Oryzias latipes: one gene and its partners. The protein of the gene in region 1 purifies or fractionates together with the protein of each later gene. This does not show direct contact. Links are inferred from orthologs where the notes say so. Each region holds a gene or a part of one and is shown in the gene's direction. Other genes may lie near its edges.

The links.
Region 2: the proteins of taf6l (region 1) and atxn7l3 purify together in Homo sapiens (affinity purification with mass spectrometry; 6 studies listed by BioGRID and IntAct, with this or other methods). This does not show direct contact. The link is inferred for Oryzias latipes from reciprocal best matches to the Homo sapiens genes TAF6L and ATXN7L3.
Region 3: the proteins of taf6l (region 1) and histone acetyltransferase KAT2B purify together in Homo sapiens (affinity purification with mass spectrometry; 5 studies listed by BioGRID and IntAct, counting the BioPlex papers as one, with this or other methods). This does not show direct contact. The link is inferred for Oryzias latipes from reciprocal best matches to the Homo sapiens genes TAF6L and KAT2B.
Region 4: the proteins of taf6l (region 1) and tada2b purify together in Homo sapiens (affinity purification with mass spectrometry; 3 studies listed by BioGRID and IntAct, counting the BioPlex papers as one, with this or other methods). This does not show direct contact. The link is inferred for Oryzias latipes from reciprocal best matches to the Homo sapiens genes TAF6L and TADA2B.

The regions. Positions count from the first base shown.
Region 1 is NC_019876.2:29,105,699-29,113,710, forward strand, and holds the start of taf6l (TAF6-like RNA polymerase II p300/CBP-associated factor-associated factor 65 kDa subunit 6L), read left to right. Parts: upstream 1-3,615; 5' UTR 3,616-3,755; intron 3,756-5,316; 5' UTR 5,317-5,330; coding exon 5,331-5,477; intron 5,478-6,318; coding exon 6,319-6,405; intron 6,406-6,473; coding exon 6,474-6,624; intron 6,625-6,698; coding exon 6,699-6,749; intron 6,750-7,099; coding exon 7,100-7,194; intron 7,195-7,264; coding exon 7,265-7,339; intron 7,340-8,012. UniProt on the Homo sapiens protein: Functions as a component of the PCAF complex. The PCAF complex is capable of efficiently acetylating histones in a nucleosomal context. The PCAF complex could be considered as the human version of the yeast SAGA complex.
Region 2 is NC_019866.2:4,611,762-4,619,635, forward strand, and holds the start of atxn7l3 (ataxin-7-like protein 3), read left to right. Parts: upstream 1-2,830; 5' UTR 2,831-3,115; intron 3,116-3,674; 5' UTR 3,675-3,717; intron 3,718-3,805; 5' UTR 3,806-3,854; coding exon 3,855-3,905; intron 3,906-3,985; coding exon 3,986-4,118; intron 4,119-4,209; coding exon 4,210-4,381; intron 4,382-4,462; coding exon 4,463-4,560; intron 4,561-4,638; coding exon 4,639-4,661; intron 4,662-4,747; coding exon 4,748-4,793; intron 4,794-5,223; coding exon 5,224-5,261; intron 5,262-5,346; coding exon 5,347-5,415; intron 5,416-5,503; coding exon 5,504-5,547; intron 5,548-6,099; coding exon 6,100-6,171; intron 6,172-7,202; coding exon 7,203-7,339; intron 7,340-7,414; coding exon 7,415-7,614; 3' UTR 7,615-7,874. UniProt on the Homo sapiens protein: Component of the transcription regulatory histone acetylation (HAT) complex SAGA, a multiprotein complex that activates transcription by remodeling chromatin and mediating histone acetylation and deubiquitination.
Region 3 is NC_019869.2:22,461,874-22,469,967, reverse strand, and holds the start of histone acetyltransferase KAT2B, read left to right. Parts: upstream 1-4,034; 5' UTR 4,035-4,161; coding exon 4,162-4,362; intron 4,363-5,795; exon of another isoform or gene 5,796-6,446; intron 6,447-6,520; coding exon 6,521-6,647; intron 6,648-6,722; coding exon 6,723-6,868; intron 6,869-6,947; coding exon 6,948-7,034; intron 7,035-7,119; coding exon 7,120-7,301; intron 7,302-7,956; coding exon 7,957-8,094. Other genes in the region: ras-related protein Rab-5A, read left to right, coding at 183-404, 554-705, 1,076-1,198, 1,318-1,411, 1,757-1,872. UniProt on the Homo sapiens protein: Functions as a histone acetyltransferase (HAT) to promote transcriptional activation. Has significant histone acetyltransferase activity with core histones (H3 and H4), and also with nucleosome core particles.
Region 4 is NC_019876.2:26,803,292-26,811,442, reverse strand, and holds tada2b (transcriptional adapter 2-beta), read left to right. Parts: upstream 1-3,368; 5' UTR 3,369-3,387; coding exon 3,388-3,741; intron 3,742-6,836; coding exon 6,837-8,024; 3' UTR 8,025-8,126; downstream 8,127-8,151. Other genes in the region: ccdc96 (coiled-coil domain-containing protein 96), read right to left, coding at 2,779-3,168. UniProt on the Homo sapiens protein: Coactivates PAX5-dependent transcription together with either SMARCA4 or GCN5L2.

The DNA.
Region 1 (8,012 bases):
TAAATGTGAACTTTTGTGATCTCCCGTGTGAACGTGAAGTGACCCGCATGCGCAGAAGAGTCCTCAACAGTGAACGGCGTCACCTGTAGCTAACGTTAACAATGGATGTCAACAGTGGCAAAGCGGAGCTCTTTTTGCATTACATTTATTTTCACAAAGGAGCCAGCACAATTACAATCTTAATCAGAAAATTAAAAAGGATAGGTTTGTGGCCATGGCGTTTTGTGGAGCAGTGTTAGCAACGTCGGTACAGAGAAACATGTGGGTGCAGAGTCGTAGCTGGGCTTATCCCCCAAAATGCAGTCCAGCTCTTCCTAAAATGGACAAGTGATTCTTTGACGGCCACTTCGTTTGTTCTGGTCTTTAACCTCCTTGTTTTTGACTCGGAGGCTTTTTATTTTTCGCTGGCATTGGATCCAGGATCGTCTGTACGCACGCTCAGCCATTTCACTGGAAATGTTTTCAAAAACCGCCCGGTTGCGATAAGAGTTCTGGAGTTTGGCCTGAATAGAGCTGTCACCCCAAATATGAATCCAATCGGTGACCTGCTTCCCTTCCACTGACTGGTCTCTGCAGCATCGTCCTCCATGGTTGATGTTTATGTTCTCATCCCGCCAACTTCAACGCAGAATGATGTTTGTAGCGTCTCGATGACGTACGGGTCGGCTACATGTAGCCTGGCCGTTCAGACGGCGGTCGCATTTGAAAAGATCGGATCTGTGTTGTTCAGACTGTCATGAAATGATCAGATTCATGTCGCATAGGGGCAAAAAAATGGGAATTGGGTCGTTTCAGCCTGCGTTTCTTTTTTTTTACTTCAGTTTGTTTTTCCCCTTTAGGGGCTGCCTAAAAAATGAAAAAAGGTCCCCTGATTTTATCTTTGTTTTTATTTTTACCCTCTCTGGTTTATGTGGGACAGCAAGCCTTCAACACATTTGGGACTTTAAGTTTAATTTTAAATACGTCCAACAATAAAATCCAGCCTTGGACGACTTGAAAGGTGTGCGGGGAACGCAGCAACGTGCCATCTTTAAAACAATGTTAAAACAATGTTAATAAAAAAATGCAAACTTGAGCGCACAGCAGAGACGATGAGGATGATGAAGATGCTGCACTACTCTGATTGTGTAATCTACAGAAGTGCTTTTTCCGTTTGGTCTGAAAACGATGGACAGAGGAGCATTTAGAGACTCTGGAGATTTAAATTCATGTCGTCAGTTCAAACCTTCACCAGCAGAATCGGTGCTCTGACGTCATCAGATGAATTGTTTGGATAGAGGAACAGCTGTTCTGCAGTTTGAGACAAACGGAAGGATTTGCCAAACTTTAAAATCAGCACAAAACCCATTTGGTTCTTGTAGATCAGGGGGGTCAAATTCATTTTCACCGAGGGCCACATCAGCATAGTGTCTGTCCTCAAAGGACCAGATATAGCTTCTACATGTAACTAAATGCAATAAAAAATAAATGTTACTACGCCTTAATGTTAAATAACTCATTTATTTATTTACTATAACTTTTTAAAGTGACAATTACAGTTGCATATTAAACATATGCTTGCTTGTTACCCTATCATAAATCCTTTTAAACATTGTCTGGTTATTAAAACCCACATAACTCCATTAATGAAGGATCAAACTGTCCAAGTGAATAAAGAAAAACAACATAAAACTGAGCTGCAAAGAACATAAATTATAGTGCAACATTTGACAAAAAGGCTGCACACAGCTTTGCATCCAACTGATGGTTTGATGACAACAATTTGTCTGCATTCAAACATAAAAGCTGCAAACATTGAACAATTACAACAGCAGCTATACATTATTAATATGTAATCAACTAAATCTTCTTTTTTATTTTTAAAAATTTAAAACTTTTATGCTCTTGCGGGCCACATAAAATGTCATGGCGGGCCACATTTGGCCCCCGGGCCTTGAGTTTGACACGTGTGTTGTAGACGGTCCGGTCCCTGCAGGTTCTGACCTCAGAGACATCTTAGAACCACCAGAACATCTCCAACTTCCATGGATGATGATGATCTCCACCAAATGGCTGGACTTCAGGAAGTGGGCGTGGCCTCAAAGGTTTGGCCAGCAATGACCCCTGACCTTAATATCAAAGGGTACTTTTCATAGTCCATTTATTTTCAAGGTTACTGGGTTTCTTCTGGGCGAAGGCGGATCCCCCCTGAACAGGACGCAGTCTGTTTCACTTTACATGCTGCATTCACACTCAGACCAAATAGCAGAGTAAGTCATTGTGAGGAGTGGGACACACGCAGACTTTAGCAGCAACGTCTAAAGATTTCAAGTCAGCAGCACGAGACCCGGTTCACCCTAACGACAGAATGATCCAGATTCTGAACCTTTAGAGGTGCTGGAAGGACTTTTATGGAGGATTTTCAATAAATGTCATCATTTGAATCAAATCTGTTCCATGATTTTAGCATTGTACAGGACAGCTACCTTCCTTTGTGTTTTAGCCTGACCTTAAATATTGATGATCATCATCTCAGGCAGCAGCTACAACACCAATTCCACATTCCACCAGCTTCTTCTCACCAGCAGGTGGCCTCCTCCTCTGTTCATTCAGACTCCTACAGCAGTAAAGAATTTATAGTCTTCAACATTCTCCAAATGAAATTTGAACTCAAATTAAAATCAAACTTCACACACTCCCAGTTTACTTAAGAAATAAAATATTAAACAACAATTCATGCATTTTTAGGAAAACTGTTTGACATAGAAATAAATAATTGTACTTTTTTAGGAAGGAAATTGAAACATAAAACCTTTTTTTAAGCTCTGCACCCCCCCCCCCATTTTCCAGACCTGCTGAATCCCTTTCTGGGTCACAGAGTTGCTGGTGCCGACCCGGCTTGTTGGGTGAAGGCAGGGTTCACCCCGAACAGGACGCCAGTCTGTCGCGGGATCACACGCTCGTGTGCACACCTGGGGGCAATTTAGAGACACCAATTAACCTATGGAGGATGTTTTGGGACAGTGGGAAACATGAAACCCAGCGAGGGATTTGAACCAGGACCTTCCTGCTGTGAAGTGAGAGTGCTGACCACTGCCCCACCATAAGCGGACTGATGCACATGTATATAAAAAGAATTAAGCTATAATTTCAAACATGAACTTTAATAAAGTAACTGCATTTCATCACCAAAACATAACCATGTGACATTTTGGACTGTTATTTTATTTTGATGACATTCACTTTTGATGTAGTGTTTGTTCATGATTTAAAATGAAATTAGTAATACTATCGTTAGTGTTTAAGATAATCTATGAAAGAGAAAACATTTGAACCCAGAGGGGATTGACTGAACAGTCCACGGTGCAAAATCCTGGTGGAAATACCCAATTGAACCAGAAAAATATTGTTCTTCATGTCCTGATATTGAAAGGAAAGTTTTATATTCACAAAAATAAATGTTTGCAAACTAAACCACTTTTTAGTACATTTTACAAAAAGCTGTTTTTATTTTCAGTCCCAAAATTATAACGTTGTTCATATAGTTACTGTTGATCTATGTATGATAACTCAATTGTTAATAAAGTTTTTCGGGGGGAAGGAATGAAAAAAAAAGGCGCACAATCAGGATTAGTGAGCTGCTTTTATTTTGAAAATTTGAGCGGAAATCCTGTGTTGAACATCCTCGAGAATGGCTCTGCAACAGCCTTCTTCCAAATCGCAGTAGCTTTTCGCGCGTTTCTTCAGGATATTTGTCCATGCATTCTTTAAAAGAGGTAAAGTCCCAGTTCTGTAAAACATTCTCACTGGTTTGGGTTGAAAAGTTTTGGTTTTTGTGACTTCTGTCCTGTTTATTCTGGCGAGCTAGCTAAACAAGCGGCTGTTGCTGTGTTAGCCGCTAGCGATGCTTCTTCTTCACGTTCCTTCAGGGCGAAGCTGCTCTATGTTGAGTTACATAAAACTAAAATGATAGATACAAAATTCTATCCAGTTAAATGTTTTTCTTTGTCACCACCTTAACACAATTGTACTGAAACAATTCAATCTTTGTATAGTTAGCTTCTTTCTTTCTCCATCAGCAGCTTTCAGCTCTCTTGACTCTGTACGTCCGTGTGAGGCTGCTGGTTGTTTTTAAGGCTTGAAATATGTTGACAGATTTGCAGAATTTTGTGTCAAACCCCTTAGAAAAGCTTTCATCATCATATCTGTGCCTCAGGAAAATCGAACCCTGTAACTGTTATTTCCGGCTGGCCTTTAGAGTCAAAAGCATGAATGTAAATATATGTCACGAATACAGAGTAACAAGAAAATAAATGCAGAATAAAAACATTTCAGAGAAGTCATTCAGTCTAAAGTCATAAAAACATGAACATGGATACATAACTTTATTAAATATTTTTAACCTAATATAAATCCAAATACTCCAACTAGCAAGTATTAAAATGATAGTAAAGTCTAAATCAGGTTGTGTCCGAATCCGTCAGTACTCAGTAAATACTGCACTAGATGCTGTGTTCCCCCTTTTTCTAGTGCTGTCCTGATCTACAAATCCAGAGCCCTGGAAACTTCCCAGGAGTCTCTGTGAAAAACCTGTGTGCATCGATGCAAATATAGACCACAATGCATTGCTTCAGATTTTTTTTTTTTTGTCAAATAAATGTATTTTTTTAATAAACCATCAACGTTTTTCTCTTCAGAAGACAGTGGACTCATAATCGTCCCAAAGTACTCATATTAATTAGATTTTAACCTTCTGAAACCGATGACATCATATCCGCCGTTTAAAGAAAAAAGTAGTGAGCGTGGCGTCTGAATGACTTGTAAAATTCAGGGCTCTACATAGAGCTGCACTATATAGATTTTAGTAGTTAGGGCGGGAATTCTGCATCATTTTAGTTTGAACTCCTGATGTGACTGCCAGGTCAAACCTGAGCCACATGCTGATCTGATCAGCGTATCCTAAAGGTTTTCATCGTCCAACGCTAGAATCCCGCCGCTTTCTGATGGCCGATTAGAGAGGATGGACTCCTGTTTGCTGTTGGACGCCTCCTCAGCCGCAGCCAACCACAAAGAGCCGTTTTATTCCACGTTCCGTTTGTTAGTTTCAGCTCATTTAGTCAGGTTTGGGCTTTGGCGTGACGGCTACTCTCACTTCCCGCTGACGCCTGCACTTTAAAATCTAGTCTGAACACATGAAAGGTTTGGGGAAATGGATGAACTTCTCTGTTTTATTGTGTTATATTTGCTGTTTTATATAATTACATGAAAATTCAGTGATTGTAGTGTGTGAATTGACCCATCAATGGGTTTCGGCGTGTCGTTCGGTCCCCTTCGCAGCTCTGACAGCAACCATGGCCGAGCGGGAGGAGCGGCGCTTTGCTCAGGTCTCCAGGGAATCGGTGGCTCTCATGGCTGAGAGTGCAGGGGTGGAACTTGGCGAGGAGATGGCGGCCGTGCTGGCGGAGGACGTCTGTTACAGACTCAGAGAGGCTGCTCAGGTGAGTGCTGCCTAAAAGCACGCAGGAAACCGGGAACAGAACCGTGACTTCACAAGATTCTGGACTTGTAGACCTTACACCAGACCTTACAGAGACCGCTGTGAACAAGACTTTAAGACATGCAGCTGAAATCAGTGTCTGAGGAGCTCAGGAACCTGAAGAGGAACCGGTTAAAAGTCTACAGTCTACAATAACACAAAGTTTAGATTTCCTTTTTGTTCCTTTATTAGAATCGCACACCTTTGTTTTTACTGGACAATCACATCGACCTTTTTAACATACAACCAAGGATCACTTTAAAACTTTTGTATAAATATCATTTATTGAATATTGGACACAACTGTAAACCATAAGCTCCCCTTTGGCAGGGATCTACTAGGAACAAGTCTACATTTCAAAATAAAGTGTATCTGAAAACAGTCTGGAGAATATCGGACTACAAAAACATCGTCCGATGCTGAAGTTAACACCGACGAATGTGATCCATCTGTGGTTTAGCGCTGCTGGCTCGTTTGGTTACAGTCCCGTTAAATGGGGGTCTGTTCCTTTTGGGGGTGTTTTGCTTTTACCAGCTCAGTGGCCTTGTGGTAGAGTGTCTGCCCTGTGACTGGAAGGTCGGGTGTTCAAACCCAGGCAGAGTCAGACCTAAGACTCTAAAAATGGGACCCAATGTCTAAGGGGTTGGATTGGGGGGGGTTGAACCACCAAATGGTTCCTGAGCGCGGCTGTGTCTGCAGCTCACCGCTCCCCCAGGGGAGGGGTCAAATGCAGAGAACAAATTGCACACACCTAGGTGTGGGGCAGGTAGTGGAACTTTAACTTCAACCTTTGTCTGACTCAGAGCTGCTCTCAGTTCATGAAACACGCCAAACGGAAGAAGCTGACGGTGGAAGACTTTAACAGAGCTCTGCGGTGGAGCAATGTGGAAGTAAGCGCCGAGTGTTTTTGTGGTGAGTGAAAGTGGACGTTCCTTCAACATCTTCCCTTGTTCATCAGGCCGTCTGTGGCTACGGAGCCCAGGACGCTCTGCCCTTCCGCTCGGGGAAAGAAGGAGAGCTTTTCTTCGTGGACGATCGGGAGATCAACCTGATCGAGCTGGCTCTGGCCACCAACATCCCCAAAGGCTGTGCTGAGACCATGGTGCGAGGTGTGTATGCGAGCACGCGTGCGGACACACGAGCCAAGGCTCGCACTGAACGCGGCGCCTCTGCTTTGTGGCAGTGAACGTGGCCTACCTGGATGGGAAAGGAGGCGTGGAGCTCCAGGGAGCAGGTGAGAACCGGCTGTACGTGTGAAGGACGCCTTTTTTACCGCCTGCTTGGGGAAATTCACTGCAGTGAGTCATCAAGGGGGGGCCTAAGGAGCCCCAGGTCCAAACACTGCAGAGAGTTCTGACTGAACCGCCTAAAAACCTCAGAGGAGCTGACGTTCCTCCATCAACAGCTTCAAGAACGGATGATGTGGACAGCTGATCCTCAGGATGTGATTATTGCATTTAGAGGAATAGTCATCATTTACCAGGAACCTTTAGCTAGAACATAATTAGAATCCGTTGAAAGTCCTTCAGGTTTTCTCTTCTTAAAGCAGAAACCCGTTTGTCTCTGAATGTTGGCTCCTCACAGTACCGACTGCAGTCCAGTCTCTGTCGGACGACCTGCTGAAGTATTACCAGCAGATCACTCGAGCCATCCTGGGAGACGACCCCCACCTCATGAAGGTGAGCCCCCGCCGGGTCTCACGCGGACGAGTGAAGCCTTTCCCGCTCATCCCGTCTCTGCGCCCCGCAGGTGGCTCTGCTGGACCTCCAGTCCAACTCCAAGATCGCTGCCTTGCTGCCGTACTTTGTTTACGTCATCAGCGGAGTAAGTTTTTCTCTGATCAGCGGATACTTTGAGGTTCAGATCGTGGATATTTGAGGAATTGTTCATCTGAGAAACCTTTGATGGCAGAGGAGGTTTCACAAATGCAGCTCCGACTTCACCACAAGGAGAAAAGGTGGCGGTCATGAGCCGCTTCCAAATCGAGTCCCTGATTGGTCAAAGTTCAACTTTTGCAAAGCAAATCGTGAACCTGAAGGTTTTGAACAAGGAGGTCCAAATTTCTGAGCCCGGTGTAAATGTAGCATAGGAGATTATCCCAATGAATCATGGGAAATGAGAAAACCAGGCGCTGATGCCGGACAGACTCTGAAACCCCTGTAGCTGTTGTTTTAGGTGGAGCGGGGAGACAGGTGAGGACGTTCCCCACGTCTGATTGGTCACAAGGACGACGTGTGATTGGCCGAGGCAGTTTAAGGGATCGAACTTTTCCCAAAATGAGAACACCTGGCTGAAGCTGTGGAAAAGACGGTCGTTCTGACCAGCTGAGTGGCCTTGTGGTAGAGTGTCCGACCCGGGAGTTCAAATCCACAGCCGTGTCGTAACGAAGCCTCTGGGCAATAAGGGGTTGGATGGGGGGAGGGGTTAAACCACCAAACCCACCAATCAAACGCAGAAACATGTTTTTTACACCAATCAGGTGAAACTGAATTGCGGC
Region 2 (7,874 bases), on another chromosome or scaffold:
GGCTTCATGAAGCCCAAATAAATGGAACAGTGGATCACATTTAGGGGGGGGGGGGGGGGGGGGGGGGGGGCGCTGAGAAATTGCACTCTTCAGAATGTTTCTTTTAATAGTTTGTCTTGTTCGGATCTCTGTTCTCGAGTTGTGTAGCTTTTATAGTTTGGTTCTGACAGAGGTGGTATTTCTTTCAGGAAAAAGAAAGTCAAGCCATGATAAACGTCCTTCTGTTGCTGGAAAACGTCACATTAAGTTTCTCTTGGAAACTGGAAACCCACCATGGAAGTCCTCATGTTTTACAGATGCATGATAGGTGCTTTCAGACCGGGAACAGCAGAGTTTTAGCTTCTGAAGGATCTTTTTTTTAAAGTTTCTTCTTTGTTTCAGTCTTTCCAACGTGGCCGCATGCATGGATTCGAAATTTTAGCCGACCGGTCAAACGTTAAACCACAGCTACACAACTGGCTGTTACAAGAATAAACAAACATTGATGTAAACGATACACCTTTATTTTTATGTTCCAGTTTCAGTGAATTTAGGGGAATGCTGCTAGAGTAAAAGCCCAGTGTTAAAGCATGCATGCATACATTATATTCATGTTTTCTTTATCCTATTTGTTTTCCTGACAAACTTCTGCTCGGTTTCCATTCGTCTTTCAGGATCAGCTGTCCTTCAGCCGGCCCTCAGGCTTCTGTCCCACAGCTTTGTAAACTGTTACGTCTGATCGCACCTATCGAGGCCTGGTGGATGTAAATATTAGCTGTAATAAGCCCATTCCATGTCGGAACAGAATTCACATCTGGTTTGAACTGTTTATAATCTGACATATTAAACAGGTTTAAAGCCGTAACTGTAATCACCTCCAGTTAAGGATTTTGTGTCACTTTTACAGAATGTGATTCTCCTGAAACAAATAAGTTCAGGTTAATCACAAAAAAATGTTTTCTTCCTTAAACTCAAAAGCAGTGATCACTTCCTCGATCAGCTCGTTTTTTATTTTATTTTATTTTTTGTGTGTGTGTTTAAATGAAATCCTCCTCAGAAACCGGCGTCTTTGCAGCTCTTTACATCCACTCTGTTGCTTTGGAAACAGAACGGTTGTCTGTGGATCACAAGAATTTGGATCCTTAAGTCTCTAAGGACTTTGACTAGCCGCTTGTCCAGACCTCAGAGTGACTGTACAACTGAAGTTGTTTGTCTCTTTAAAATTATTTAAATCCGATGCATCTATTTCTCAATCTGTTTTAAAACTGTCCCTCTCCAGATATCTTTACTTTTTTTTTTTTTTTTTTTTTTTAAGGGGTTGGCTTTATGGGTTTCCGTCTCAAGCTTATCCAAAAAAAAAAAAAAGTGTGCACTTATTGTAAATCTGTCCTGAGTTTGTGCACGCACGCACAGAACTGTTTTAGGATGTGTGTTTCTTTGCTTTAATGTGTGCCGTCTGTTGGACACCGTCATGGGACTACGGCGTGCACGTATGTATGTGGGACATCATACCAACACCATGAATGTAGATATTCTTCAATTTTTTTTGACATTTCCTCGTCCAAAGGTCTTCACTGTCGAGTCACCTATAACTTGAACTTTAAATGAACGTCGCCGTAGATTTGGCTTTTCAGACAAAGCGAGAGGCATCGATCTGGAGGATTGGAACCGCAGCGAATCTCCTCGCTAAACAAAACCAGCGCAGACTATTGACAAACCTGGAAGAGGGAAAGGGAAAATGACATGGGGAGGTCTGGAAAAGGGATTTGCAGAACTGCTTTTGCCAGTGGACTTGGAGTATAAAAAATGTAATTTTTTCCCCCTGTAAATACAGTTTTTGTATCGAGTGCTTATTATTTTGTTAGTACTTTGATTTTTGGAAACCCTCATCTGTGATATTGGAAGCCGGTGAGTCTTTCACTCTTCAGGAGGAACTTTTGGTTAAATTCACCCGTTTGTTTTTTGTTCCTCTGCCAGCTGTTGGTTTCTAGAGATCTCTATAACAGCCAAGCTTTACAAGTTTGTACTGCTGACCATTTGACAGAATTTGATGTTTTATATAGCTGAGGCCGGGTGTTCTTATGTCCTTGTAGTTCAAGTATTTGAGCAAATAAACAACAAAAAAGCTTGAAAAGATGCTATGTTTTTGAGTAGGCAAAACATCCATGTAACCAAAACATTTCACTTTTTTTTTACCATGAATATCAAGGATGCAAAGACTGAAAACGACATTTCAACACTTTTAATGTTGTCTGAGATGTTCAACTATTTGCTTCCAGTTTGCAACTTTGAAATATTTTCATCAAACAGTAATCCATATGCGTTTGAATCAAATCATAGCATTGCTTATCTAAATAAGGAAATTTTTGTTTTCAAAGTTAGAACACGCAGAAAACCCTAAAATCAACTATTTGATGTTGAAAAGCTGTAAAATCTAATACACTTTTTTAATTTGGAAGGCATTTATGTTTAATAATATATTCAAAATTCTGAATGGGGCAAGTACTAAGCAGCCGTGATGTATATTAACCACAATATTTGATAATAAAATCTAAAAGTCTATAGAATCTATAGAAAGTCTATAAAATCTATAGCTAAAGTTAATAAAGGAAGGTTCTAAATCAAGCGTGACAATAGAACCGGAAGCACATATATGTACCTTCAGAGTAATTTAGTAATTTCTTTTTTTTGAAGAAAGTTCTTCTGAATTACATTTTCCTCTGTGACGCGGTTGACAGTTTGATATATGTAAATAATTGTAAAGTAAATAAGAAGAAATTATGACCAAATCCCAAAGTCTTGTCTTTAAATCCAACACCGTTTACGACATACAGCTTTTATTTTTTGAAAGTAAAACCCGAAGCCCGTCCGTGTTATTCTTCTTCGCTTTACTGCTGTGTGTGGCCAAGCTGTCGGCCTGTTCGATGTCAAGCGGGTTTCTAACGTCAGTTAAGCTAACCTCCACCTGCGGCAGCTCTGACTTCGGACAACAGAAGCATAAAACCGTAAATCGTAACGATGGCTGCGACTTAAGGACAAGCATCCCGTCTGCGTGTTTCATCCGGACCGAACCGGTTATGTGGCTTCTCCCAGAGAAACCGCCTGCTTCAGGCTGAGTTGTTGTTGGCACGACCGGGTAAGAAGAGGAAACAGTTTTCGCTCGAATTCTGATGCTATCAATCTGCTCTTTTAGGGTTACCGTCTGACAAACGAGGAAAATATATCCAAGGATTGTCTGTAGGCATAAATACTAATACTTTTTTTTAAACATATTAAATATGTTTGTGTTTAAACTGTTAATAATAAAAAAGGAAGAAAGTGCTTTTACATTCCTACAATTTAAAGTATAATTAGTATAATAACATCTAGATTCGACCAGATGCAATTATATATTAAAAAATTAATAAATAAGAACTCATTTACACCTCCTGTTTCTCATTAAATAGGAGGGGAAAGCGGTTATAACCTGGTCTACATGGAAAATTCAATTATTTATTACTTAATGGAAGTTTGTCTGAACCCAGCTGGATGTGTTTACTGTAGTATTTTTAGGCTGAGCTACCATGGAGTATTTATTTAGTTTCCAGCTTGCTTATGTTAAATAAAGTTTGTTTTTTCCCCTGAAAAAGCTTCTTCACCTGCATTTGTTTTGTTTGGAGATTGTTCATCCTCCTCTGTTTCCTTCTCCTGATCAGAATGAAGAAAGTTTTGCTACAAGGCTTGATATTCAAAGTAAAAGTAAGATGTTTGTTACTTTTATTTTCTTGTTTCCAGTAAACCTTTTCTTTTCTTATTTTAAAATGATTGTTGAACTTTTATTTTGAAGGACACCAGCTCATCACCTCCATATCAAGATATCCTGGATAGATTTTCAAATGAAAATGGAGGATATGCCTCTCTCAGGCCCAGACAACACCAAGCTGGAGGTGAATCCCCATCACCTCATTTGGTCATTTTACATAACCCCACCATTTTTCTTTGACTTGAGTGTCTTGTCTGCTGGCAGGCCTTGGTGAACGACATCTACTCTGAACTGGTGGAAGATGCGTGTTTGGGCCTGTGTTTCGAGGTGCATCGTGCTGTGAAGCAGGGCTACTTCTTTCTGGATGAAACGGACCAAGAGAGCATGAAAGAATTTGGTCTGTCCCGTTCGGTCCAATTGATTCTGTTCATTTATCGTTGTCTGTGTTTGCTTGACTTGTTTTTTTGTTTTTTTTAAATGTGTTTCAGAAATCGTGGACCAACCAGGAGTGGACATCTTTGGACAGGTGTACAATCAGTGGAAGAACAAAGAGTGTGAATGTCCCAACTGTAAAAGACTGATCGCAGCTTCCCGCTTTGCTCCTCACCTGGAGAAATGTCTGGGTATGGGACGCAACAGCAGCCGCATCGCCAACCGCAGGTTTGTCGGTGGCGACCGTTTGAGTCAGGCGCTGTTATTGATTCGGTTCACACTCGCGGTTTTCCTCTGCGTTTTGGCCAGACTCGCCAGCAACAACAACACGAGCAAATCGGAGAGCGACCAAGAAGACAACGATGACCTTAACGATAACGACTGGTCATACGGAGCCGAAAAAAGAGGTGAGCGTGGAAACGTCAAAATACAGACGGACGGTGACGCTACAAAATAAACACACCTGTGCACACTTTGTTTTTCAGCAAAGAAAAGGAAATCGGACAAGGTATTGATTTGATCACCTTTTGACACAATTTATTCGTTTTATTCTGTAAAATAGTCTTATTTAAAACAATACATATTTCTTTGCAGAGTCAAAATTCCCCAAGAAGATCAAAAACTCTGAAACACAAAAACGGTAAGTGGGTCAGAAATCTGCATCCTGTTAAAACAAATATCAAAAATATGTTGTTTCCCAACAGAGAGAAACTGGTTAAAGTACTATTTGCTTCAGTCTAATTAAATTTCTTCTACAAGCTCATCTTGTTAAAATTTCATTAAAATGAGGGATACTTAGATTATTTTTGGTTAGAATTTTGTTGGCCTGCAGTTGAATATTTTAGTAGAAAAATACATTTTTTTTAAAGGAGAAAGTTAACGGCTTAGCAGTGAAAAGTTTCAATGTATTGTTTTACTTGAAACGGCTCAGTGGGCTTTTCAAAATAAGAGTTCCGTAAAGAGAAAGGCCGTCGGACTACAAATGACAGTAGAATTGACTTGATTGTCGGACGTGATTTAACACAAAGCTTCAGTTTTGTGAATGAAGAGCTGCACGTTTCCTCCTCCAGGTGAGCTTGGGAGCAGCATGAGTGCAGATCCTTACAAGGTGACTGACGCCTCTCCTCCATTACGAGTGCAGGGCTGTGGGGCGTTTTTGTGCACCTCACTGATTGGGGTTTTCTCCATTTCAGTACAACTACAACGCTGGCATCAATTATGAGATGTTGGGCCCTGATGAAGTCCGATCCTTTCTAACTACAGTGAGCACCTTAAACACATCAGCAGGAAAATTTCATTTCTCAGCATAATGTACCATGTCTGTGTGTGTGTTTGTCTTTTTTATCACAGCAGTGTGGGGTCATATCAGAGCACACGAAGAAGATGTGTACAAGGTAGTTGGAAATATCCAAAATTATTAGTTGTTTTCTAGTTTCAGAGCATTTTCTTGTTTGGATGTTGTAACTTGTAGTTGTTTTGTCAGACTAACCTGCTGTAGGGTTGTCGTCTTCCTGCCCTGTAGTTTGGGAAGGTCGACCTGTCTGTCATCACGCTGAGTGTGTAGAGACTAACTCAGGGGAACACAAGTGGCAACCTGGAGATTTTTTCTTTTCTCCCTTTTAAAACAAAAACCAAATTCTGCAAAAGTCTTCCATAAAAGCGGACAAACATCAGCGTCAGTTGGACCAAGACGGCTCCGGTCGTTGACCAAACGTCTTGGTGTTGGTCATTGACCGGCTCCCAGCAGTCCGTCCCACCTCCTGCATGCGGGGCCGCTTTCCATCGTGCTACCCTCCTCCTCAGAAACGCAGGTTAATGCGTCCGTCTGCCTGAGGAGACGCGTTAGCATCATGGGAAGCCTCCCCCGGGGTGAGGCGTGGAGCTGTGCGGTGGGTGTGGGCACGCCGTCAGTCAGGGTCATGTAATGCCACCTTGTGTCCCTCCAGGTCTCAGCGATGTCCTCAGCACACGGACGAGCAGAGGATGGCCGTCAGGGTGTTCCTCCTGGGGCCGTCCGCGTGAGTGTGCCTCCCCCCACCTCACCCGATAATACCCATGATCCACTGCAGTAAAGCAGAGGATCAACCGCTCATCTCAACAGAAAGTCATTTCCTTCAGTCTGCTTTCTCTCACTGATTTGGGGATTTCTTTGTCTGAACCTGAATTCATGTTTTCACTGTAGAGGCTGGTTTCTGCTTCAGAGCGATCGGCCGTTCTATCAGTCGCATGGCGCCCCCGACCAATCGTGCGGTCTAGTTCCTAATGGGGTTTTACTTGTGACTGTCCACGTTAAACTGCGACAAACTTATGAGTGGCGTTTATACTTTTCAAGCCCAATGAGGCGATTGCGTCCAGCATTTCAGCGGTTTGGTATTTTATTTATAGTGGTATATCTTTCAGATTCTGCTTTTCATGAACTAAATACATAAAAAAAAGAACATTTTGAAAAACAAAAGTCATTTCCAGAAACCAACAGGAATTGTGGGGCATAGCTGACCGTGATCATATGATGTTTGGGTACTTTTCAACAGGAAGGTACTTGGCCTGGTGTTTGGCAGCAGAGCCGCCACCAGTGTGTGAATGTGTGTGTGACTGTAAAGCGCTTTGGGCCTTGTAGGTAGAAAAGCGCTATATAAGTATACGCCATGGTGGTATCTTCCGACAGAAGATATTTTCTTGAAGCTTCTGGCCGCAGCCACCGCTAAAGTTCAGCCGTTGCTCCAGTCGTCCTCCTTTCCCTCTTTCTCAAAACATCATCATCCAATCAGTGATGTCCCATAGTTCCAACCCCTTCCAGTTTCTTTCTTTGTTTAATATTTCAGGAGATTGTCTGAAATCTTTCTTTCTTATTTGAAATAATTTTTTAGTTTTTGACTTTGTAAATTGTTGTTGTGATCTTGAATGCGTTTGCACCTTAAGGCCACCGTACTTTTTTCATGTAGAACGTGGGGCAAAGAAGCTGAATAGCTGTGGGAACTCGTGTTGTTGTGTTTTATTGTGGCTTCACCTGATTCAGGTCTTCCTCTGTTTTTTGGGTTTTGCGTAACAGGCCGGTTCTGCCCGAGGCGGACTCCGTGGCGGGGCCTGAAAGCTTCGACATTCCCGACGGACAGGCCTTAATGAGCCGGCTGCAGTGGGAGGACTCCCCGGAAATCTCTCCGTCTGACTCGGCCTCTTCCAAAGCGAGTGAGGAGACGTCCGGAAGTCCTTTCCCGATCAAACTGAGGACGGATAAGGAACCGATTTCTGTTTCACTTACAGGCACCAACCACTCAGACTCCAGGAGGCCCAAGAAGAAGAAGAGGCCGCCTCTGGGACTGAACAGCGGAGGTGGGATTGGAAGTCTGAGCGGCGGTGGCGGCAGCGGCGGCTCTCAGACTAACATCAGTTTATCGACCAAAAAGAAGAAGCCCAAACTCACAGCACCTTCCATTTCAAGCATCTATGATGACTTAAACTAGCATGAGCCCGTCTGTCTGAGCAGCCCCTCAGTAAACTCCCTCCTTTCACGCCGTGGTGGAGCGTTCCTTCAGCAGCACAGGAATCTAACATTTTCTGGTGAAGTGTCCAAATTCTTCAGTTCACCTCAAACCACAACATTCCAGCTAATTGGTTGCAGCCGGTTTAACGTGTTTTCCTTAGATGAAGACTCCAATAATCAGTTTATCTCCATCTACGAGTTTCTACAAACAAAAAAGATTTTTCTTTAGTGTCTGACGGA
Region 3 (8,094 bases), on another chromosome or scaffold:
AAAGCCAACAAATCAATGAGTTGTTCCTCAAAAGATGGCGCTCCGGTCTCACTTTGGTATTCAGTGATGGCCGCACTAATATCAACTGGTTTTGTTTAGTCGTAAATATGTTTGGGAAATATTATGTTTTTGTTTTGTTTTTTTGCTTTGTTTTTTGCTCTACTTTTTTTTCTTTCTTTCAGCTGAAGTCAAGAGGGTGAAGTTTGGCGCTCAGGAGTCCAGAGGATCTGATCAGGTCATGGCCAATCGAGGAGGAGCTACAAGACCCAATGGACCCAACGCAGGCAACAAGATCTGCCAGTTCAAGCTGGTGCTGCTGGGGGAGTCTGCTGTGGGGAAGTCCAGTTTGGTGCTTCGTTTTGTCAAAGGACAGTTCCATGAATTCCAGGAAAGCACGATAGGAGGTGAGCTGCATGCTGTATGTTCAGTTTAGGACTTTGATTGTTGTGATCCGGTACTTTTAACTGCATTTGAGTCCTGTTTACAATAGGATGACAGTTTGTGCTAAGCCTGTGGTTTTTGACTAACCCACTCGCCTCATTTCCATCGCCAGCGGCCTTCCTCACCCAGACAGTCTGTTTAGATGACACGACGGTGAAATTTGAAATCTGGGACACAGCTGGTCAGGAGCGATACCACAGTTTGGCACCCATGTATTACAGAGGAGCACAAGCAGCCATTGTGGTCTACGACATCACAAACGAGGCACGTTCATGTCGCGCAGAAAGCGCTGGAACTATGGAGCTTTAGCTCCAGTGTTGGCCTTCTTTGACTTCCCGTAACTATTCAACTGTTTACGCAATTAACATAAATGAACGGATTCTGGAACTTTACAGTAGTGACGTTTTGAAATAAATAACGTAAACCAACTGATTGGGACGAGGAGAAAAGCACTCTTTACAGTAGTAAGTCTTGATTGACGTAGTTAACATAAAAAAAAGGTTTCTGATGAGGAGAAAAATGATCGTAGAGTTACGGTACTTCAAAGAGAGTGTAATGTTAGCTTCAGGTTCATGTTTATTTTCCCCTCAAGAATTGGCCCAAGTGAAAGTTTAGCTAACATGCCTTTTCGTAGGAGTCCTTCGCACGAGCAAAGAACTGGGTGAAGGAGCTACAGAGACAAGCTAGCCCCAATATAGTCATCGCTCTGGCGGGCAACAAGGCGGACTTGGCTAACAAGAGAGCTGTCGAATTTCAGGTGAGCAAGAACACGCCATATTTAGTTCTATTTAAATCCCACGGATGCTTAAATACATTGACAGCCGGAACGCTTGCTGGATGTTTAGCTTCAGTGGATTCTCCGTGTTGTTTCAACAGGACGCCCAGTCTTACGCAGACGACAACAGCTTGCTGTTTATGGAGACCTCAGCCAAGACATCGATGAATGTCAATGAGATATTTATGGCAATTGGTGGGTAATTCAAATGAATTCATGTTTTTCTATTGTAATAGGAGACATTGTGGTCGATCGCATGTTTGTATTCTCTTGCATAGAAGTGCTTGCACAGTGGGTGTGTTACTGAGACTTGTGATCACAAGTCAATTCTTCAATTGAGCAATAATAGAGCGTTGACGAATATCATGGCTTCATCAAATCCGCCAGACATGAGTCACTGCAGGGAGATAATCCACTGCATAATCCAATGTCGGCTGGTTCTACGTCACTATTTTTTAATGAAATAAAATAGTTTATTTGTAAACAACTTTTAAAAGAAGTATTTTTTTTTTCACATTTTTGTGACTTTTTATTCTTTAGCAAAGAGATTGCCGAAGAGTGAGCCTCAGGCTCCAGGAGCCACCAGCGGGCGGAACCGTGGAGTGGACCTGACAGAAGCCGCCCAGCCGGCCAAGGCTCCATGCTGCTCCAACTAACAGGAAGAACACAGTTTTCCAACACCTGCATACTAGTTACTGATGTGGCTCGTGCCACCGAAGCTACTAAAACAATGTGTCAGTCATTGTTTGAAGCCAGAAAAGATATCCTGCGCCCAATTAACCCCTCCATCCTGCCCCCCCCCTTCTCTTCGACTTTTTCTGTACCGTGACCCGATGAAGCCTCCTAACCACTTTGTCTTACTTTTATGCCACCAACTCGTCCATCAAGTAGAATTGATGGATTGAGAACAGAAGCAGGCGTCCCTGTTGCTTAAGCAGATGAGAGTTGTTGGTGGAGGAATCCCTTTTACTGGAATAGCTTAAAGCCTAACTGCTGTTTTGTTTTTATTAATACGTTAATCATTGTTTAGATTTGTGGAAATGATGAATTCCCATCTGGGTAAGTCAAAAGAGACAAATGTGTTCTAACAAAGTCTGTTGGAGAAGAATTCTGAATCTGAGAGGGGAGGTGGTGGAACTCTGTGCTCCCTCTCGACCCTTTTTACTTTAACGGATAGAAACAAAAGGCTTTTTTAAAATCTGATTCCCTTCACTGACCCTGTCCGTATCCTTCACTTCCACTAAATTCACTCTATTTATTTTTTTCTTCTCCCCTCTCCACACCTCTGGGCTCCATCATGGCTCTGTGCCTGCCTGTAGCCTGTCCATAGCGGCATTGTGCAATGTTTTGCAGTATTTACTCTTGAGGTGAGCGTCTGCCAGGACCAGCGCTGCACAGCGGAACCCCTTCCTCACTCACCCACACCTGATGTGTTATGTCTTATCATAGACCCTCATGCGCTCAGACGGGGGATTTAAGTCCAGGATCGTCTGACGGATTTGTCGCAGTTGTTGCAGGGTTTTTGTTAAAAAGAGTGATGATCGGAGCTTTGCAATATGTATGAATTCTTCGTAATTATGTTGGAATCATAATTATTTGACATCTTAAAAAAGTGCTTTAGACACACTAGTGTCATTATCCGCAATCTGGGCCTGAAACGGTGACGAATTTCAGAAGGAGATGAAACAACACACTCGTTTGTGTGTGTGTGTGTGCACGTTGGAACTCACATTTGCACAATAAAAACAAAAACAGATTCACTTTCTCCGCCGAGCTCTTTTCTGCTCTAGATCAGCTCATATTCTGTCTGTTACACCTTATTGGTCCGTTTCCTACACATTGTCACATAAACACCCGCGGCATTAAGACTTCAGTCTTTTTTTGTTGTTTTTTTTTTTGTTACAGATCGGTTTTATTCACGTCTTGCACTAATGATTCTCATAAAATTTCTCTAATTTCAGGTGTGATTATAAATATATACATAATATAAATATATAAATAATTTACTGTAAATATCATGTTGCAGTGTAGTCTACCCTTTTTCTTTTCATTTTACCAACTACTGCTTGCTAGGGAGTTGTTTAGATAATCAAGGAGAAGACAAAAAGTGTAGTTTAAAAAAAATGGCTACATTCTCAGTTTGGACCTTTTTTTTTCCCACACACAAGGATGCATAATAAACAGTGGTGGTCTTTATGTATGTAGTGATATTAACAAAAAAATAGCATTTATTTAGAATCCATTTCTCCAAATAAAAAAATGTTTATCTGAACTTTTGTGTGTTGCGTGTGTTGTGTGAGCGTGTGTGTGTGTACAGAGACAATGATGCCTTGTTCTTTTCCCTGTGTGTAGAGAGGAATTTCGATACGCACCACAATCAGATATCACATTCAGAAGGATGAAAATCCACTGGCCTGGAGCGATTTGTGACCATACTGGATTTTTTTAAATGTTATTTTATTCCAAAACCACTTAAAGATGGCATTTTTTTGTGTGAAAATACTTATTTGCATTAAAGGATAGTCTAAAATGCAAGTGTTTGACAGCACTGTTATGTAATGACCAAATCAATACTGAAATAAATGTGATCATTTGTCATTGTGGTACGACTTTTTTGTGTATATACACCTCATGTCACTTTACTTTGACATTTTTTTTATTTTTTCGGTGTTTTTTTACTTTTATTTATGCTTCATTGCTTTATTGTCTGAAAATGTGCTAAAATTATGGACAAATGACCTTGAAATTCTTTGCCTGCATTTTGTGACCTCTCTGAAATGTGTGCAAGTCAGAGGATCAGCGCTGCGCCCCCTAGTGGAGGAAATCGGCCCCACAGCGAGAAATTGAAAATAAGGATGAGCGCCATGTCTGATTCTCTGCTTGTGGAATAGAGCGGACGGCGCTGCGAGCTTTCCCCGGGCCTTCTGGGTTTTTTGTGGGGGATAATGGCCGACAGCGCTGGAATTCAACAAGGCTCGCCGGCCATCGGAGCCGCCGGCCTTGTCCCAGCCGCCCCCGGTGCCGGGGGAACGGAAGGCTCCGGCGCCGCTGGAGGATCCGCACGTATCGTCGCGAAGAAGGCGCAACTCCGCTCCTCGCCTCGGCCGAAGAAACTGGAAAAACTCGGAATTTATTCGTCATGCAAAGTATGCACTCCCGCAGTGGACGGACTGCCGGAACAGTGAAGTTTGTAGTGCGCGTTGGTCTTGGAGGATTTTCCTCTGAGGTTAGGTTGCAATAGTTCAGTATCGCATTATCATATGCAAACCCAGCAGAGGAAGCCATTGCCCCACTTTTTCTCCCCTCTTCATTTTTGTCCTCCGTACACAACCGAGAGGGGAGTCTTTAAAACTGCGGCGCGCGTGACGCTTGTTTTAGTTCACACTAGGACTCTTAAAGTAGTGCCTTCCCCCCGGAAAGCGTTTATAGTGTGACTGTGTGTCAAAGAGGGGGTCGCCTCGCGCTGTTTAGGAGTAACAAGCTAACGGAGGTAAAAATAATAAAAAAAAAAATTTCTGTTTGTGGTCACGTGCGCGCTTATGCCACTACAGGAATTTTTCCACGCTTGCCCGAGGCGTTTAACGGAGCGCGGGGGGAAGCACGGAGCAGGTTATTGGGCTTGTGCGGCGGGTGATCCGCAGAGAGGGAAGGGGTCTTTGTTTTGACAGGGTGACAGCTGCTGCGGTGGGCGGAGTTTGTTGTAGTTCCAAGCGCGTGCGCAGAACAGCGTAGCCAACTGACAGCGGTGTCAGTCCTGCTCCTCCCCCAAAATGTCGCCTCCGGAAATCTGTCTCAATTGTATGGAGGCATTTTAAGTCATGATTAGAGTAAAATTTAATTGTGAATTGACATTTCAGGCTTGGAAAACGAAAACACATTTTGAAAATTAGGATTCAATATCTAAATTTATATTTCAATATGACAATTTTAAAAATAAAATATTGAAAAAATGCATTTGTAACCCTTGTGCTATCCTAGGCACTGTAACGTTGGGAGTTGGGTCATCTAGACCCACTAGACAGTGCTCTGAACCTTTTTTCTTCAATGATTTGTGATCTTCACTGGTGTCCATGGATTACATGAAATCTTTCCACCTTTATCCACCTTTGTCATGGTAGGAAGAACACGTCAATGTAAGGGTGGGGTCATCTAATATAGCACAAGGGTTAAATCGTATAATCATATTGCAAATTGAATTTTTAATTGAGAATTGCATATCACTTTGAATTGTGGCTCAAAAAAACGTTGATACAATTGAGACTAAAAAGAGTATTCAAAACCCATGCTACTTATTAAATTAGAAAAGCAAAAAAGTTTATTTATTTTACAAATAGGGACGTATTTGTTGCTGGAGATAATTTTAGTGGAATCTTATTTGGCGCGTGCTAATACAAAAAAATGTTTGTGACTACTGCCCCCTAAAGGTTGAGATCAGGAACTGAATTTAGGAAGAACCACGCGATGAAAATATGTATTTTTTGTCTTTCTAATATGTTCTCCAGACATTTTTCATGAAAAAAAGACAAACATAAAGAAAATTAAGTTAGAAATTGCATTTCTAAGTCTTTATTCAAATCATTGTGAATCAAGAGCAGACGAAAGAATGCAGTCTGAAAAAGGTTTTAGTTGGGATGTAGAAATTACACTGTGCGGGCGAAATGCTCCGTGATCTCCCCCCCATTCTGATGCATCCATTTGTAGACGACTTGTACATCTTCGTTTTCTTTATCCGAGCTAGCGTCTGGCACAAAACTCTTCAGAAGGATAGTTCTGATATTGCTTGACATTTTTGTTGCACTGTTAACGTTAACTCTGGGTTGTGAGGGGCTGTGAGCTAGTGGGAGACAGTGTAAACGGAGAACTCTCAACAAAGGGGAGGGGAAGGGAGGTGGGGTTGCTACACGCCAATGTTTTCTGCCTAGAAAATGACCCGTTTTTTAAAATTTTGCCTAAAATCGTAACTGGGAACGCTTTTATAATTTATCAAAAATAATCGGAGTTGGTCTTCAAATAATTCCAATGGGAGGAGGAGATGAACATTGGCAATTGTATCGATTTAATCATTCTGGCAAAATTACAAAGCCGTTTTGGAAAAAGTGTTGATTAAAGACAGAAGACGGGGTCGCCAACAGTTGCGGTGGTAGGCCCTCTTTTGGAATGTCCCATCTTCTAGTCTTTACCTAAAGCATACATAGCTCATTATTGGTATCATCAAAACTAAATAAAATAGGTAACTTTGTTTATGATTGTATATTTAAAAATGAAATAAAAAAGATATAACAATTTTAATGTTTTTCCTTATAGGCTGAGGGGCCCTGTAAATGTAATGGCTGGAAAAGCCAGAACCCCCCTCCCACACCCCCCCAAACCGACCAGCAGACCAACACAGTGAACCTACAGGAGCCCTGCCGCAGCTGCTCCCACACTCTGGGTATGTTGTATTTCCAGTTGCCTGCAATAATCCTCCTTCAGATCTTGGAAGATTCCAGCCTCTGTCACCTCACAGGCGATCACGTGAGCCATCTAGAAAATATATCGGAAGAGGAAATGAACCGACTCCTAGGTGTCGTCCTGGACGTGGAATACCTGTACACGTGTGTCCACAAAGAGGAGGATGCTGACACTAAACAAGTCTACTTTTCACTGTTTAAGGTACATTTCTAGCGTCACCATTTTTTTCTTTTTTCATAAACACTGTTACCTCACTCACCAACGGCGGCTTGCCTTTCAGCTTTTAAGGAAATCCATCTTGCAGATGGGTAAACCGATGTTGGAAGCACAAGAGAGTCCTCCTTTTGAAAAACCCAGCATTGAACAGGTGAATTAAAGAAATCCTGGTGGGGTTTTTTTTAACTAAATTGTAAGATTCATTTCTTTTTTTATTTTAAATTTTAATTCAATAGGGAGTGAACAACTTTGTCCAGTACAAATTTAGCCATCTACCATCAAAAGAGCGTCAAACCATCATGGAGCTGGCGAAGATGTTTCTTAACCAAATCAACTACTGGCAGCTGGAAACACCGTCTCAAAGGCGCCAGAGGGTTCCGAACGAGGAAACGGCGGGATACAAAGTCAACTACACCAGGTACCGACCATGAACCCATCTGTCCCGCGCAGGTTTCAGTCAAACCCACTGAATGTATACGAGAACTGGACCGAGTGAGTGTGATGTCACCCATAAAAAATGAGTTCTGGCTCCAACCAAATGCAGTGAATTCTGTCATCATTCAGTCGCAATACGGACATTGCCATGTTGGACCCAGACGACGTTGGTAAAGGCCGTGTGACGCTTATTACACATGTGAAAATTGGTCATATATGAATATGTGTGGAAAAGGGGAGAAAAGTAGTGGTCTTTACGCAAAATGTTCACAGATCTATCAAGAATGAACCACGTTAAAACCGTGGAAGAAGTACAAAAAAAAAACACGCAAAGAACAATCAATCTGTTCATAACTTGAATAACTTTCCTAACAGAAACAATGTGAAAAAAATGAGAACGAGAAAGTGTTTATAAAATGTTTATAAAAAGTAGCCGAGCAAGAATGGTTATTCTGACAAATAGAATGAGTAACAGCTTTTTTTTTCTCAATAGGAGTCTATGGGATTATGTTTTCTTGGAGCCAGTGAGTACTTCCTGTTTGGAACACGGGGAGGGGGGTGTCACTCAGTCCAGTTCTTTGATACAGTCAATGGTCAAACCACAGAGATCCAAAAAGTAAGGGGTCCCCCTTTCTCAGGTGGCTGTGCTACTGCAATGTGCCCCAGTTCTGCGACAGCCTGCCGCGGTACGAAACCACCCAGATCTTCGGTCGGACGCTGTTGCGTTCTGTGTTCACCATCATGAGGAAGCAGCTGCTGGAGCAGGCCAGGCAGGA
Region 4 (8,151 bases), about 2.3 Mb from region 1:
ATTTTTCTCATGATGGAGGACATTTATAAAGAAAACTATCATTAAAACAGCTTTTCTGAGTATTTCTGTATTCAAACTGTTGTGAAGGAGCTTATTTGTAACGTGGAAAACACGCTGGGCAGGCGGAAAGCTACTTGCTCTGCTCCATTCTGATGCATCCACTTGCAGACAAACAGAACATGTTCGTCTTTATTTCAATCCAACATCTGAACTGGAAAGCTTCAATGTTGCTCCCAGTCTTTGTATCACAACTCAGAGGTGAATTTGTAATAAACTCATGCCGCTCTGCAGAAAGAATGACTTAGAAAATAACATGTTTTTTTTTTTTTTTTGGCTAAAAACAACAAAATCATAATTAAAAGACCACTGGGAACGCGTTTAAAATAACTTCAGAGACAGTTCAGAGCGGGACTTTGAGGATTTCAAATCCTTATGGTGGATTTTTTTTTACACAGTTTTTCTGATCTTCACACATTAGAGAGCGGCCAGAGTGAGGCTCAGGATGCCAGAGTGAGGCTCAGGACGCCAGAGTGAGGCTCAGGACGCCAGAGTGAGGTTCAGGACGCCAGAGTGAGGCTCAGGACGCCAGAGTGAGGTTCAGGACGCCAGAGTGAGGCTCAGGACGCCAGAGTGAGGCTCAGGATGCCAGAGTGAGGCTCAGGACGCCAGAGTGAGGCTCAGGACGCCAGAGTGAGGTTCAGGACGCCAGAGTGAGGCTCAGGACGCCAGAGTGAGGTTCAGGACGCCAGAGTGAGGTTCAGGACGCCAGAGTGAGGCTCAGGATGCCAGAGTGAGGTTCAGTACGCCACACATGCAGCTTAGTGGAGGGCAGACCTCTTTCTGAACCTGAAGGCACCATGGAACCTCCCAGCATGCTCTGGGGCAGGTGCACATGACAGATCACTTCATGAAAAATGCTGCTTTTTAATCATCCTAACATGAAAACCATAAAAAAGTTTCAGGTTTAAAAGCTTTTCTAATTCAGACCCCGGGGCGAACTTAACATTATAGGCAAAGGTGGGCGATCGCCTGGGGCCCCCAACTCTCCAGGGCCCCAAGCTGAACCCTTAATAACCGTGACTAGAAAGAATAAATATGCTATTTTATAAATCTATACAGACATTTTCAAAACCCTTCCAATGGAAAGAATTAGCGCCAAGTTCAGGAACAAAGACATTGTTTTTCACTGGTTTATGGCGCCCCCTGCTGGAACATTTCCCTAATGATCAAAGGGGTTCGGGTTGATTGGAATGGCGCTCTAATCTGACTGTTTCAGCTGATTGACATGACTTTCTCACATACTCTGTGAACGTCACCTGCTTTTAAATGCATGTGTGTGTGTAAACAAATCAAAGTCCTCCTTCTTACGTCTCACGAGGACTTTTGCTTTTATTTGATCTCACCTAAATCCGTGAAGAGTCGAAATACAAGAAACAATTTCCACTTTTGTTCATGATGAGCAAACAAGTGAAAACATCAGTGGTTGCTAGTAAAGTTCAATAGAAATCCAATATTTCATGTTTTTCTCTGACTAACTGCAAACATGGTGGATGCAATATCATTAAAAATGTGTTAAAGTTGGACTTTCATTTAAATCAGGAAGTAATAAATCATGGATGATTAATTACTGATAATTAATCATTGATTAATATTTTGGTTGTTGTTTTTTTTGTTGGGTCTGGTGGTTTCTAGGTGAGTTTTCGGCTGGAAAACCAAGACTCTATCTGGCAACACTGGCAGAGATTAAATGATGATTCAAAACAGTTTTTAAAAAGTGATCAAATGAAGCAGAGGGAAAAGAGGACTAAAGAAAGCAAGAGGTTTGCTACCAAACCTCCAAAAGTGCTGGAAGATGGATAAAATAACAAGAGCGAGAAAAAAAAGTAAAAGAGTAAAAAAAAAATGAGAAAAGGACGCCATAGGGAGGAAAAGCAAACGGTAACTTTAAATATATTTGGTTTTTTTTATAGATGTCATTTTGTACTGTTTTGTTATTTCATTCAAGTTTTTTTATTCTTTAGCAAAACCTGACAAAAAGAAAAGAAAAGACATTTGTTCCTTCTAGGAAGTGGAGGATTATGAAATTAGTGCATTTAATAAATTTAATGTTTTTCCAAGTAAAAATAATGTTTATAAAGAAACACATTTTATTTTACATTTAAGTTTTTAAAATTTTTATCAAAACATTTGGATTCTTGACATTGATGTTGTCTAAAAGTGGATCAGTGAGGAGGTTGTCCGACATTTTACCCTATGGGTTCGGATTTTTAAAGAAAAAATGAATAAAAATGCAGCAGAGGGCACCATGCTGTTGTTCCCCTGGGGCCCCCAAGTCCTCAACTGAGTAAACAGGTGGATATTTTAAACATGGAACCACATTTCTAAAGTTATTTACATTTAGAAATGTGGTTACATAAAAAAAAGTCATATAAACAGAACTGAAGTTAAAATGACATTTTTTTTGCACATTAACTCATCTTTGGCTGTTTTAGAATCAATATTTTCTAAAAATAAATAAATGAGAGACTTTCTTTAACCTTTATAACACTTTTAGTTTTTTTTTTAAACATAACATCAGAAAAACTCCTATTTTACTGAAACACATTTGACATTTGACAAAATGGGATATAAATAATATTCATCCAGACAAAACTGTTGAAAAATCTGACGTTTTAATATCTACATTTGTACCTGCACTACACTCTTTTTTTTGTAAACTCCCAAACTATTGACTTCCTGTCAGAAGTTGCAGGAGTGCAGTTTCAAGCAGACACCAACCTTTTCCAGCTTCTCCTGAAGCTGTGAGCTCAGCTCCTCGGCCTGCAGGTGAGCGGACTCTGAGTCCGCCGTGACCTGCTGCTTCAGGGCGCTCAGGGTCCGGATGCAGACCTCGTACTCGTACCGGTCCCTGGGCAGGTCTGGGCTCCTCCTCAGCTTGGCGTTTGCTTCTGCAGCTTTGCAGACGTATCTTGCCAGCTTCCTCTGCAGCTGTCTACTTCTCTGGGAGAGGTCCTCGTTCTCCTTCTCCAGCTCCTGGAGGACTCGCTGTGCCTCTGGGCTGTCGTCCCTCCCTGCAGCGGGTTTGAACCCGGTTTGAACCTCACTCCTGCTGCTGTTTGTGACGTCACGTGTTTTATCAGAAACCTCTTCCATGACCTTCCTGCTCATCAGGTCCCCTTGTGATGTTGATGCTTCAGCTGGAAACCTTATTTTCCTCTTCTTTACCTTTTTTTTCTTCCTTCACCATATTTATGTTTAATAATATTCTTCCATTTGGGTTTAAACCGCTGGAAAAATGTAAATATTCTAAAGAAACTGCTAACTGGTGAGAAAAAAGCTCGCTTTGAGTTTAGTTTGCGTTGTCTTGGAAACTGGGGCAAAGAGCCAATGACGGGCCGCGCGCCGCACGCTTCAATGTGCGCAGGCGCGAGGTTCCGCCTCCAACAAACAAGAAGCAGGAGCCCAGCCAAGATGGCCGACCTGGGGAAAAAGTACTGCGTTAACTGCCTCGCCGATGTCACCAACCTGCGGCTCCGGTGCACCGAGTGCACCGATATCGACCTGTGCCCGGAGTGCTTCTCGGCGGGAGCAGAGATCGGTAACCACCGGAGGTGGCACGGCTACCAGCAGGTCGACGGCGGGCGCTTTTCGATCTGGGGTCCCGAAGCGGAGGGAGGATGGACCAGCAGGGAAGAGCAGTCGCTGCTCGATGCCATCGAGCAGTACGGCTTCGGAAACTGGGTACATCATCACTGACATCATCTGTTTAGAGCTTTTTTCCTCATAAACTCCTCCGGGTTTGGTGGATAAGTTGATAAACTTTGTGTCTCTACAGTTTGACGGTAATAGTTTAAACTTAACAGAGAAGTGTCGGTTTTTTTTTGGAAAGTAGCAGGACTGTGACTGACAGGTGAGACGTTCACCTGGCAGACCGAACCCCCGGAACCACGGAGGGAAACGTTTCATTCTAGGGTTCAGAGCCTTAAAACGGCTCCAACCAGCTGACAGCCTTCACTTTGTGACTTAAACCACATGAATTCTTTAGGTTAGATTCAGTATTTTTGGCAGAATCCGTTCATTTTAAATGAAACTTCCTCCAGTTGTCTTTGTAAAAGCAGATTCATGAACCCTTTTCACTAATGTTGGGACCACAAGACACCCAGAGACCAAATCTGGTGGCCACAGATCTGGTAGAGCTTTCAATTCTGAACACCGAAATAACAACGTCTTAACGATAACATTTTTGGATAGAACAATTGGAGAACTTTGTCATCACAGGTACAAATATCAACGTTTGTGTTTTGTCTTCTAGAAACATCTTCCCATCAAATTATCACAGGACATTATTCAGGTGCTTTGGCGATTATTGATACGTTTTTCTTGATCGATCAAATAATGTTATTACGGGCTTTATTTCTGCCAGGTGGTACTTTTGGGGGACTTGTATCACTCGGTAGCTTTCACGAAGCTGTGAAGTTGATCCAAAGACGTAAGATGCTGTTGGCTCCCAAATGTCCGGATAAGTCCCCCTGTTCCTGGTTCCGAATTCTAATCTAAAGTATCAGCACTGCGACGCACACATACTATCACTGTGTGAACGGCACGTGCAGTGACAACCGTTACGGTCCGTAACTAAAGTCAAACGTTTCATCCATTTTTTGAACCCAATCAACCCCTTTTTGTGGTCACAGGGTTGCTGGAGCCTATCCCAGCTGCTGTTAGGCAAAGGCAGAGCGCAATCATTGACTCTTCATGAGAGCTGAGTGAGTGTGACTTCATCCATGGAAAGCGACTTAATTCTGACTTCAGCTAAATTAAGGCAATTCAGTCGCCATTTTTACGCAATATGGAAGTCGCCATGTTGGAGCCAGACGTTGTCAGTCAACAGTGATTGGTCCAAGTTGGTCTGAGTCAACATTCCGATGGCAACCGCTCTCACCAATCAGGAGTGAGCTTGTTGGAAGTCCACACCCCTTCCACTGAAAGCCGGAGAATCTTTCTTTTCATTTTTATTTTTTAAGGCATCTGATTGGTTAGTTTATTACTTGAATAAATTACACTACAGAAAAAATTAGGATGATCAAAAGTATGTTTAAAAAAAAGTATCAGAGCAAGAATGTTGATTCTGACCAATAGAATGACAGAGTAACGGCTGTTTGTTTCTCAGTAGAAGTCTATGGGATTTTGGCTTCTTGGAACCAGCAGCTACTTTCTATTTATGCTTTGAAAATACAGTGGGGCATTTAGTCATCCACCAATTGTGCAAGTTCTCCCTCTTAAGTAAGTAGATGAGTGTATGAGGGACAAGATGAGAACAAAAATGCAGAAAATCACATATTTGGTCGATAACAAAAGTTCAACTCAGTACTTTGTTATATACCCTTTGTTGGCAATGACAGCAGTCAAACGTTTCCTGTAAGTCTTCACAGGATTTTCACAAACTGTTGCTGCTATTTTGGCCCATTCCTCCATGCAGATCTCCACTAGAGCCATGATGTTTTGGGGCTGTCGCTGGGCAACACGGACTTTCAACTCCCCCTAAAGATTTTCTATGGGGTTGAGTTGTTGAGACTGACTAGGCCACTCCAGGACCTTGAAATCCTTCTTATGAAACCACTCCTTCGTTTGTTTGGGATCAATGTCATGCAGAAAGACCCAGCCCCATTTCATCTTCAATGCCCAACTGCTGGAAGGAGGTTTTCACTCAAAATCTGACGATGCACCGCCCCAGTCATTCTTTCCCTTACATGGATCAGTCGTCCTGGTCCCTTTGCTGAAAATCAGCCCCAAAGTATGATGCTTCCACCCCCATGCTTATGGTGTTCTGTGGATTCAACTCAGCATTCTTTCTCCTCCAAACATGACGAGTAGAGTTCTTAACAAAAAGTTCTATTTTGGTTTTATCTGACCATAGGACATTCTCCCAATCCTCTTCTGGATCATCCAGATGCTCTCTAGCTAACTTTAGACGGGCCTGCACATGTACTGGCTTTAGCAGCGGGACACGTCTGGCACTGCAGGGTTTGAGTCCCTGGTGGCGTCGTGTGTTACTGATGGTAGTCTTTGTTACTTTGGTCCCAGCTCTCTGCAGGTCGTTCACTAGGTCCCCCGTGTGGTTCTGGGGTTTTTGCTCAGCGTTCTTGTGATCATTCTGATCCACGGAGTGAGATGTTGACAGGAACCCCAGATGGAGGGAGATCATCAGTGGTCTTGTGTGTCTTCTATTTCCTAATAATTGCTCCCACAGTTGATTTCTTCACCTCAAGCTGCTTTGCTGTTGCAGATTCAGTCTTCCCAGCCTGGTGCAGGTCAACAGTTTGGTTTCTGGTGTCCTTAGACAGCTCTTTGTTCTTGACCACAGTTAAGTTTGGAGAGTGACTGTTTGAGGTTGTGGACAGGTGTCCTTTCTATAGATAACCAGTTCAAACTGGTACCATTAATACAGGTAATGAGTGGAGGACAGAGGATCCCCTCACAGGAGAAATTCCAGGTCTATGAGAGCCAGCAATTTGTAGGTGACCAAATTCTTATTTTCTACCATAATTTACTAATAAGTTCTTTAAAAGTCTGACAATGTGATTTTCTGGATTTCTTCCCCCCTCATTTAGTCTCTCATGGTTGAGGTTCACCTATGACTAAAACTACATGCCTCTCTCATCTTTTTATGAGGGAGAACTTGAACAAGTGGTGGCAGACTGAATGCATTTTTGCCCGGCTATTGAAAAAGACAATGTTTAGAGTGGGACTTAAAAGTTGGCATCTACTTTTACCTGGAGCTGAATTTCTGTCCTGAGGCAAAGTTTTCTTCATCGTTCCTGTGTCTTGTGCTCCCCCAGGAGGACATGGCCGCTCACGTGGGGGCGTCCCGCAGTCCTCAGGAGGTCATGGAGCACTACGTCACCATGTACATCCACGGAAACCTGGGCAAGGCGTGCATCCCCGACAGCATCCCCAACCGCGTGACCGACCACACCTGTCCGAGCGGCGGCCCCCTGTCCCCCAGCCTCACCACCCCGCTGCCCCCCCTGGACATCAGCCTGGCCGAGCAGCAGCAGCTGGGCTACATGCCGCTGCGAGACGACTACGAAATCGAGTACGACCAGGACGCGGAGAAGCTCATCAGCGGGCTGTCCGTCAACTACGACGACGAAGACGTGGAGATCGAGCTGAAGCGCGCGCACGTGGACATGTACGTGCGCAAGCTCCGAGAGCGGCAGCGGCGGAAGAACATCGCTCGGGACTACAACCTGGTGCCCGTCTTCCTGGGCAGAGACAAGAAGGACAAGGAGAAGCCCGGAGGGCTGGGGCTCTCTGGAGGCTCGGGTTCTGTGGGCGGAGCTGGGGTGGGCGGAGCGGTGGGGGTGGGCTCTGCGACAGCGGCAGGATCCATTCCCATCCCGACCACGCCCAAAAGAAAGATCACCAAGGAGGAGAAGGAGCAGCGGGTGCGGCTGCGCGCTCTGTGCCAGTTCATGGCCCATCGGGAATTCGAGGACTTCTTTGAGAACATGCACAAAGAGCGTGCGCTCAGGGCCAAGGTGCGCGAGCTGCAGCGCTACCGCCGCAACGGGATCACGCGCCTGAAAGAGTCGCACGAATACGACGCAGCGCGCCAAAAGAGGGAGAAACGAAAGGAGAACAAGAGCGTGGTGAACTCCAAACGGGGCAGCTCAGGGGGGGGCGGCCTCGGCTCCGGGATCGGACTCGGGGGAGGGGGTGTGGGTGGAGTGCTGGGGCTGGGAGGCGGGATTAAAGAAGAGGGTAAAGAAGGCGAGTTTGCGGCCATCGAGAACCTGGCCGGCTTCGAGCTGCTGTCGGACAGAGAGAAGATGCTGTGCAGCTCGCTGAACCTCACGCCCGCCCGATACCTGACGGTCAAAACCATCATCATCAAAGACCACCTGCAGAAGAGGCAGGGCATCCCCGCCAAAAGCCGCCTGCCCAGCTACCTGGACAAGGTCCTGAAGAAGCGCATCCTCACCTTCCTCACAGAGAGCGGCTGGATCTCCAGAGACGCCTCCTAGCATCTCGCTCCGCTTCCCTCACAAGCTTGTTGAAATTACGGGTTTTTGCCTTTTAAAGCTTTTGTTTTTATAAATGTGTAAATGCAAAAAAGAAAAAAAACACCAGATGTTTTATGAAGATGATTGT